2 linked regions of the Anolis sagrei genome follow. The protein of the gene in region 1 purifies or fractionates together with the protein of each later gene. This does not show direct contact. Links are inferred from orthologs where the notes say so. Each region holds a gene or a part of one and is shown on either strand. Other genes may lie near its edges.

Evidence for each region.
Region 2: the proteins of ANKRD17 (region 1) and HOXB6 purify together in Homo sapiens (co-immunoprecipitation; 3 studies listed by BioGRID and IntAct, with this or other methods). This does not show direct contact. The link is inferred for Anolis sagrei from reciprocal best matches to the Homo sapiens genes ANKRD17 and HOXB6.

What each region holds. Positions count from the first base shown.
Region 1 is NC_090026.1:53,232,822-53,236,736, reverse strand, and holds the start of ANKRD17 (ankyrin repeat domain-containing protein 17), read right to left. Parts: upstream 3,047-3,915; 5' UTR 3,032-3,046; coding exon 2,390-3,031; intron 1-2,389.
Region 2 is NC_090026.1:33,152,425-33,156,339, forward strand, and holds the start of HOXB6 (homeobox protein Hox-B6), read left to right. Parts: upstream 1-1,152; 5' UTR 1,153-2,160; coding exon 2,161-2,596; intron 2,597-3,915. UniProt on the Homo sapiens protein: Sequence-specific transcription factor which is part of a developmental regulatory system that provides cells with specific positional identities on the anterior-posterior axis.

The sequences.
Region 1 (3,915 bases):
CAAGAGTTTGGGGGGAAGTGACCTTGATTTCTTGGAGTTGTAGTTCACCTACATCCAGACAGCACTCTGAACCCAACCAATGGATCTGGATCACACTTGCCACAGATGATGGGATTTGCAGGACCTTCACTCACTTCCTGGGATAAGTGTGACCCCCTCGAATGATGGACCTGGACCACACATGACACAAAGACCCACGACCTACTTTATGTTTTGGGGAAGGATGGACCTTTGATCTCTAATATTGTTGTTTTTAAATTGTGTTAGATTTTAGCCTGTTCTTGTAAGCCGCTCCGAGAGGGAGTAGAGGGCATATAAGTTTGAATTATAAATAAATAAATAAAATGTATTGTTGAAGGCTTTCATGGCCGGAATCACTGGGTTGTTGTAGGTTTTTTTGGGCTGTATGGCCATGGTCCAGAGGCATTCTCTCCTGACGTTTCGCATGCATCTATGGCAAGCATCCTCTGAGGATGCTTGCCATAGATGCAGGCGAAACGTCAGGAGAGAATGCCTCTGGACCATGGCCATATAGCCTGAAAAAACCTACAACAACCCAATAAATAAAATGATGGGATTTGCGGTACCTTCATCCACATCCTGAGGCAACTGAGACCCCCACGAATGACGGACCAAACTTACCACAGAGATTCTCCATGGCATACTTTTTATCCTGGGGAGTTTTGGGAGAGGATGGACAGGGGACAATATCAAAAATTGGCTTTTTTCCTACTAAATCGTGTTACTAAATGGTATTACCTAACACCCCAAAACAAACAATGCCTTTCTCAAATAACGGCTGGCCCCCTTCCTGTCCAGGGACGACCTAGCTACGGTGATCCAGGCTACGGTCATCTCAAGACTGGACTACTGTAATGTCTTCTACATTGGCCTTCCTCTGACGGTGATCCGGAAGCTCAAGTTGGTACAAAATGCAGCTGCTCGGCTTCTTGTGGGAATTCCGATGAGATGCCACCTAACACCAATCTTACTAGAGCTGCATTGGTTACCAATTGAGCAGCTTTCAAAGTGATGGTACTCACCTTTAAGGCCTTGCATGGTCTGGGGCCGATGTATCTGAGGGACCGCCTCACCCCCTACCAACCCCAGAGATCCCTCCATTCTGAGGACTAAGATATGTTGGAAATTCCCAGTGTCAAGACCTTGCATCTAACAGCAACCAGATACAGAGCCTTTACAGCAGTGGCACTATCACTCTGGAATACTCTGCCACCTGAAGTCCCCCTGTTGCGGGACATATCAGCTTTCCGCAGGGCATGTAAGACATGCGTGACCGCATCTCCATCTACGAACCCACACGCTCACTTAGGTCATCTGGAGAGGCCCTGCTCGTGATCCCGCCCGCGTCGCAAGCGCGCTTGGTGGGGACGCGAGACAGGGCCTTTTCTGTGGTGCCCCCCCGACTTTGGAACGCCTTCCCAAAAGATCTTAGACAGGCCCCTACATTGGCAGTCTTCAGGAAGAACTTGAAAACCTGGCTGTTCCGATGTGCCTTTTCAGATTAGGAACCTCAATACCAAGTCCCAGATGCACTTTAATAGAACCACGATCATTGTACACCGCACACTGCACTTATTTTATAACCCTATATTCCTCCCGCAATATCAGCACTTTTAATCCTGTACCCACTACTCTGGCCGGCCCAGTTTTAATAATTGTTTCGATGTATTGTTACTGTTATTGTTTACTCTGCTTAACTGTTTTTAATTTGCTTTATGTATTGTATTGTTGTATTGTGTTCTGAGGCCTCGGCCTATGTAAGCCGCATCGAGTCCCTTGGGAGATGCTAGCGGGGTACAAATAAAGTAATAATAATAATAATAATTGAAGGCCTTGCATGGTCTGGGGCCGATGTACCTGAGGGACTGCCTCACCCCCTACAAACCCCAGAGATCCCTCCCTTCTGAGGACCAAGATTTGTTGGAAATTCCCAGTGTCAAGACCTTGCGTCTAACAGCAACCAGACGCAGAGCCTTTACAACAGTGGCACCATCACTCTGGAATACTCTGCCACCTGAAGTCCCCCTGTTGCGGGACTTATCAGCTTTCCGCAGGGCATGTAAGACATACCTGTTTCGACAGGACTTTGATTTTTGATATTGCTGGTTATAAATTGTGTTAGATTTTAGCCATTCTTGTTAACCGCTCCGAGCTCCTGGGGAGTGGCAACATATAAGTTTGAATAATAACTAAATAAATAAAATAACCTGGACATCACCAGGTACCCAAGCTAGTTATGAAACAAAGTGAAGTGATATAATGCAGTTTCCAAACTCTGTTACATGCCAATGGAGATGTGCGTAGGTTAGGTAACCAGGCCAGGCTCCTCTTCCAGAAAGCAAGAAGCTAACCCTGAAGAGTGGATTACCTCAGACACTTCCTCGTCCTCCTCTTCTTCCTCCTCCTCTTCCTCGTCCTCTTCCTCCTCCTCCTCGTCGTCCTCGTCCTCGTCTTCCTCGTCGTCCTCCTCCTCCTCTTCTTCCTCCTCCTCTTCCTCCTCCTCGCTGCTTTCGCTGCTGCTGCTACTGCTGTTGCCCCCGCCGCCTTCCACTCCGGGAGGCCTGTCTTGCTGCTGCTGCTGGTGCTGCCGTCGGCGTCGAGTCCAGGTCCGCTTCGGCGGCGGCTGAGGGAGAAGAGGCGACAGCGGGCTTGGCTGCTCCTGCTGAGGCGGCTCCTCTCCCTGGACGCGGAGGTCGCAGACGCGTGCCAGCCCCTCCGCGGTGGCCGGGGAGGCGGGCTTCCCTTCCTCCTCCTGCTCAGCCCCGCTGCCCTTCTCCTCCGGGGCCGGGGGAGGGGGAAGCGGCGGGAGCTCCATCGTCACGTCTGCCTCTTTCTCTCTCTCTCTCTTTCCCTCACCGCCGGTCACCTCCAGAGCCGTCGCGCGAGGAAGGCAGGAAGGAGGGAAGTGAGGCTGCGTGACGAAACTCTCGCGAGATTTCCGGGACCCCACGCGACCCGGTTCTCTTTTTTCCCCTCTCTGGCTCTTTCCGTCAGTCCCCTTTCGGCGCATGCGCGGCTGCCGGAAAGGCTCGTGGCCTACCCTGTTGCGCAGGCTCCGCGGATGAAGCTTCCGGGTAGCCGCCCAACGTCATCTTCCCGCGCCGTTATAAGGGGTGTACAAAGGTGAGAGTCCTTCTCGCTGCAGGCTTTCCCTTTCTGCCTGTTTTGTTTTTTTGTTTCCCCTCCATAGGCGGAGGTTTTCTGTTTTTTAAAAGTAAAGAAAGACATTCTCTTCAATGCTGGACTTCTAAATATATATATCTATTGGACTGGATGGCCCATGAGGTCTCTTCCAACCCTTTGATTCTATGATTCACAGAGCATATATATATATATATATATATATATATATATATACATACAAAGGTAAAGGTAGTCCCCTGACATTAAGTCCAGTCATGTTTGACTCTGGGGTGTGGTGCTCATCTCCATTTCTAAGCCGAAGAGCCAGCGTTGTCCATAGACACCTCCAAGGTCACGTGGCCGGCATGACTGCATGGAGCACCGTTACCTTCCCGCCGGAGCGGTACCTATTGATCTACTCACATTTGCATGTTTCAAACTGCTAGGTTGGCAGAAGGTAGGGCTGACAGCGGAAGCTCACGCCGCTCCCCGGAATCGAACCTGCGACCTTTCAATCAACAAGCTCAGCAGCTCAGCACGTTAACCCACTGCGCCACCGGGGGCTCCATATATATCAGGGGTCCTCAAACTTTTTAAACAAAGGGCCGGGTCACAGTTCCTCAAACTGTTGGAGGGCCAGATTATAATTTTAAAAAACATGAATTAATTCTTATGCACACATATCTTATTGGTAGTGCAAAAAACACTTAAAAACAATGCAATAATTAAAATGAAGAACAATTTTAACAAATATAAACTTATTAGTATTTC
Region 2 (3,915 bases), about 20 Mb from region 1:
TCAATTCTAAATGCATGGCGGCAGTGAAACCGTGAGGACTTCCTTGTCATTAAAACTGAAACTTGTAAGAGATCAAATCGCAATCCAGTAGCATTTCATGACTCTTTAATCCTCCATAGAGAAAATTCGCATCGCTCATGGGGGGAGGGTTGTCATGTTGCCATGTGTTTTTGGGTAGAGAATCCTTCCTATGAGATTAAACCTTCTGTAATAGACGGGTGATAGATAGGTAGATTGGATTACAACTTCATTTGTCCAGATTTGCAACGACATCGACCTCAATTCAGACCATCAAAAACTGGGCTAAATTAGAGGCATATATTTACAACTTTCAAAGCTAGTCGTGAGGTATCGCCTTCCATAGATGCAGGCGAAACGTCAGGAGAGAATGCTTCCGGAAGATGGCCATTCAGCCCGGAAAACTCACAACAACCTAGTTTTGACGGTTCAGGATACTTTAGACGTCTCACAGAAAAGAAAGAAGCAGAACGAAGGCAAACACAACAGAGAAAGGGACAGGCCACTCAAGTCTACAGTTGGACCATTTGGAAAAGATTTCTCGAAGTATAAGAGAGTCTAGAAATAAAGTCGAAGTCAGGGGAAGGCAACATATTTGAGTTGCCTTATAGTGAAGGGAATTCTTCACCAGGGTGAACCGGTGACTTGGAAAGGAACTTGTGAAATAATCATGACCCTTTCATTCATTTTTGAAATACAAGGTATTCTACCGAATTCTGATTTCTGAGCCACTTCAATCAGTTCCGAGTTTCGAGACAAAAACAAACCCTTCCGCCCCAAACTCCCTCACGAGGGGCTCACCTTATATCGACCCATAGGGCCATATATATCATTTACTCGATGACCAATCGCTGTCGCCTTACCTATTGGGTTTCGATGCTGGGTGATCAATAAAGGAGAATTCTCGGCCGCCAGACCAGCCTTAGCTCTCCTTAACTCTAAACTGTCCAAAGCCCCGCCGCCAGCATAAAAAACGCAAGAGGGCACAGTTGTGGGAAGACAGATATACGGACTCTTCCTTCGAGCTCTGTCCTTCGATCCATTCCTCTTCCGGACTTCATAAAACGGTACGGGCCGGGGCGACCAAAGGGACACGCGTGGAAATGTAAACACGCTCCCCCCCCCCACGCGCGCCATTTCAACCCATTAGGTAAATTTAATGGAGAAAATCAGGTGGAATGAAAGGAGGGGAGCTTGGAAAAGGAATTCCCCTTCATCCTTCACTAGGAACAGGATTCAAGTTATTTTTAGGATACTCCGGATAGGTTAGACCTACTCCAAAAAAAATAAAAAAAATAAGGGGAAGGGGAGTTTTGAACTTTTCCTCCTCCAAAGATAGAGGCTTCCTCCTTCTTTTGCTACCGGTGTGAGTGTGTGTAGAGGTCCCCCTTACTTTCCAAACCCACCCTATAAACACGCTGAAATGGACCAAACTTTTTCCAAAGGAAAAGAGAGAGAGACCCCCTTTTCCCTCTCTCCTTTCGCCTCTCCACATTCGCAACCAGGCTCATCTCCTCCCTCGTTTGTGCTTCCACACTTCCCTTTTCCTCCTCTTCCTCCTCCTCTATTTATTTACTCCTCTTTTTGTTTTAAAAGGAAACTCCAAAACGATTCGTAGGGATGGATCTTATCTCTGAGAGAACGACTATATATGGCTCAAAGGGGGAGCATGGGTTTGAAGGTGTGGGTTTGTGTATATCTGAGGGTTGAGCTCGGATAGGTGGAAGGAGGGGGGGTGCGTTTGGGAGTGTTTCCCCCCTCCCCTCCTCTCTCTCTCTCTCTCTCTCTCTCTCGCTCTCTCTGTTGTTGGAAAGTGATGGTTGTTGGTGGCGGAGATGCTGTGGCTGGTTTGTTCTAGGGGGGTCCCCTGTGCAAAGCGAACCCCTCCAGGGTGCGATTTCGGCGTCTTCGGCTCCTGCGATTGGTCAGCGCCTGATCAGATGGTTTTCTTTCCTTATGTCCCTGGTTGGCACGCGGCCATCCCCCTTCAGCTAAAACCCAATCTCCCATATACTGCTAATAGCTAAACCGCTTGGACTATAAAACGCAACAAATCATAAAGACCCCGGGAAAGAGCAGGTTCTGCTCTTCTGCATTATTATTATTATCATTATTGTTGTTATTATTATTATTAATTTTCCAATGAGTTCTTATTTCGTCAACTCCACTTTCCCGGTGAGCTTAGCCGGGGGCCAGGAGCCCTTCCTGGGACAGCTGCCCTTGTATCCCACTGGGTACGCGGACCCTTTAAGGCACTACCCCGCCACCTATGGACCTGGGGCCGGCGGCGTCCCAGAGAAGGCTTACCCCGGCGCGCCTTACTACCAGCAAGCCAACGGAGGGGCGCCTTACAGCCGGAGCCCCGCCGCCTGCGATTACGGGACGCCCCCGGGCTTCTACCGGGAGAAAGAGACCTCCGCCTGCTCCCTCTCCAGTTTGGACGACCCGGCTCAGTTCGGGCAGGAGTCGGGCAGGAAGTCCGACTGCTCCCAAAGCAAACACGTCTTCGGGGACAGCGACGACCAGAAGTGCTCGACCCCCGTGTACCCCTGGATGCAGAGGATGAACTCCTGCAACAGTAAGTTTGCCCTTGACTCTGGACTTTTCGGGGACTCGTGACTTTCAGAGGGAGACAGGGTTGGGACACACACACAGAGAGAGACATCTTTGCACCCCATGCCTAAACAGGAAATGTCCTCCCCATCTCACTTCCCCTCCAAGTCTGGTTTGGAAGAGAAGGAAAACTTTCTCCAAACTTTTCTCCCACTTCAGATCATTCCCGTGTCATCTGTGCCTGTTTGTTTTGGTTTTTTTGAGGAAGGGGAGGCAAAGAAGGGGCAGGCTGTGTCCCCCCCTTTCACTTGGTTCGTTTCTTTCCCTAACTTTCTGCATCCAAACAAAGTCCGGAGACTCTTGATGGAGCGGAAAGGCTTGTTAGCTGTCACTCTCCAGGAGTGATTTACGTGGCCTGTCTGAGGTAGTTTTACACATCACGCACACACATGCAGGGGATGGGATCCGGGTTCTGCTGGAGTCCCCCTCCTGCGTTATTGTAACGAACCTGGTCCTCCTTTCCCCCTCCACCGCTTCCCTTTCCAGTCCCAAAGAGTGCAGGCTTTAATCCCAGCCGCTTGACTAATGTCAAAAGGTTTTAAATATTTGAAGGGAATGAGCTACATTTTTAATGAAACTCAGGCATAATGAAATGCCTGTCTGAAGAGGAGTTGCTCATAGTTTCTCTTTCACTCCCTGCCCCTCCCTCCTCCTCCTCCTCCCACGAATCCCGCACCTTCTTCTTCTTCTGCCATCGGCGGTTCCCTCCAGGTGCGTTTTATTTTCCATGGAAATTATTTTTTAGGAAAAGATCAAGACGTGCTAACAGCTCGTCCTTGTCCTCCTGTCCCTATGTATTATAATGTGCCGCCAGGCTCTAAAATTCCTGACCCAGGGGGTGGAGAGGGAGGAATGTGAGAGAGAATCGATACACTTCCATAAATTCTCCAATCTATTACAGTTGCTGATAAAGGAGGGAGGGGACGCACAGAAATAAAAGGCAGAGAAGGTGGGATACACAGTGCAGAACGTTTCCTGGGATAGAAAGGAAGAGGGCCAAAGAGGGCTGCCCAGAATGAGAGAGGGGTGAAGGCAGAGGAGAAATTGAGAACTTCCAACCTTCATTTTCCCCTCAGATACAAGAGTGGGCAAAGGGAGGGGGGCTTTCGGTTCCCTCCCAGGGCCAAACCCTGCCAGCTTTTCACTGCGACCCTAAAAACACATCAGCCAGGAAGCCAAGTCTCATTGATTTCTATGCGCCATTACATCCCACTAGCACTAACATCGAAGTGAGTCCTACTTGGACCAGCCGATCTCCAGTGGACTTTTCTCCCCAGTTAAGGT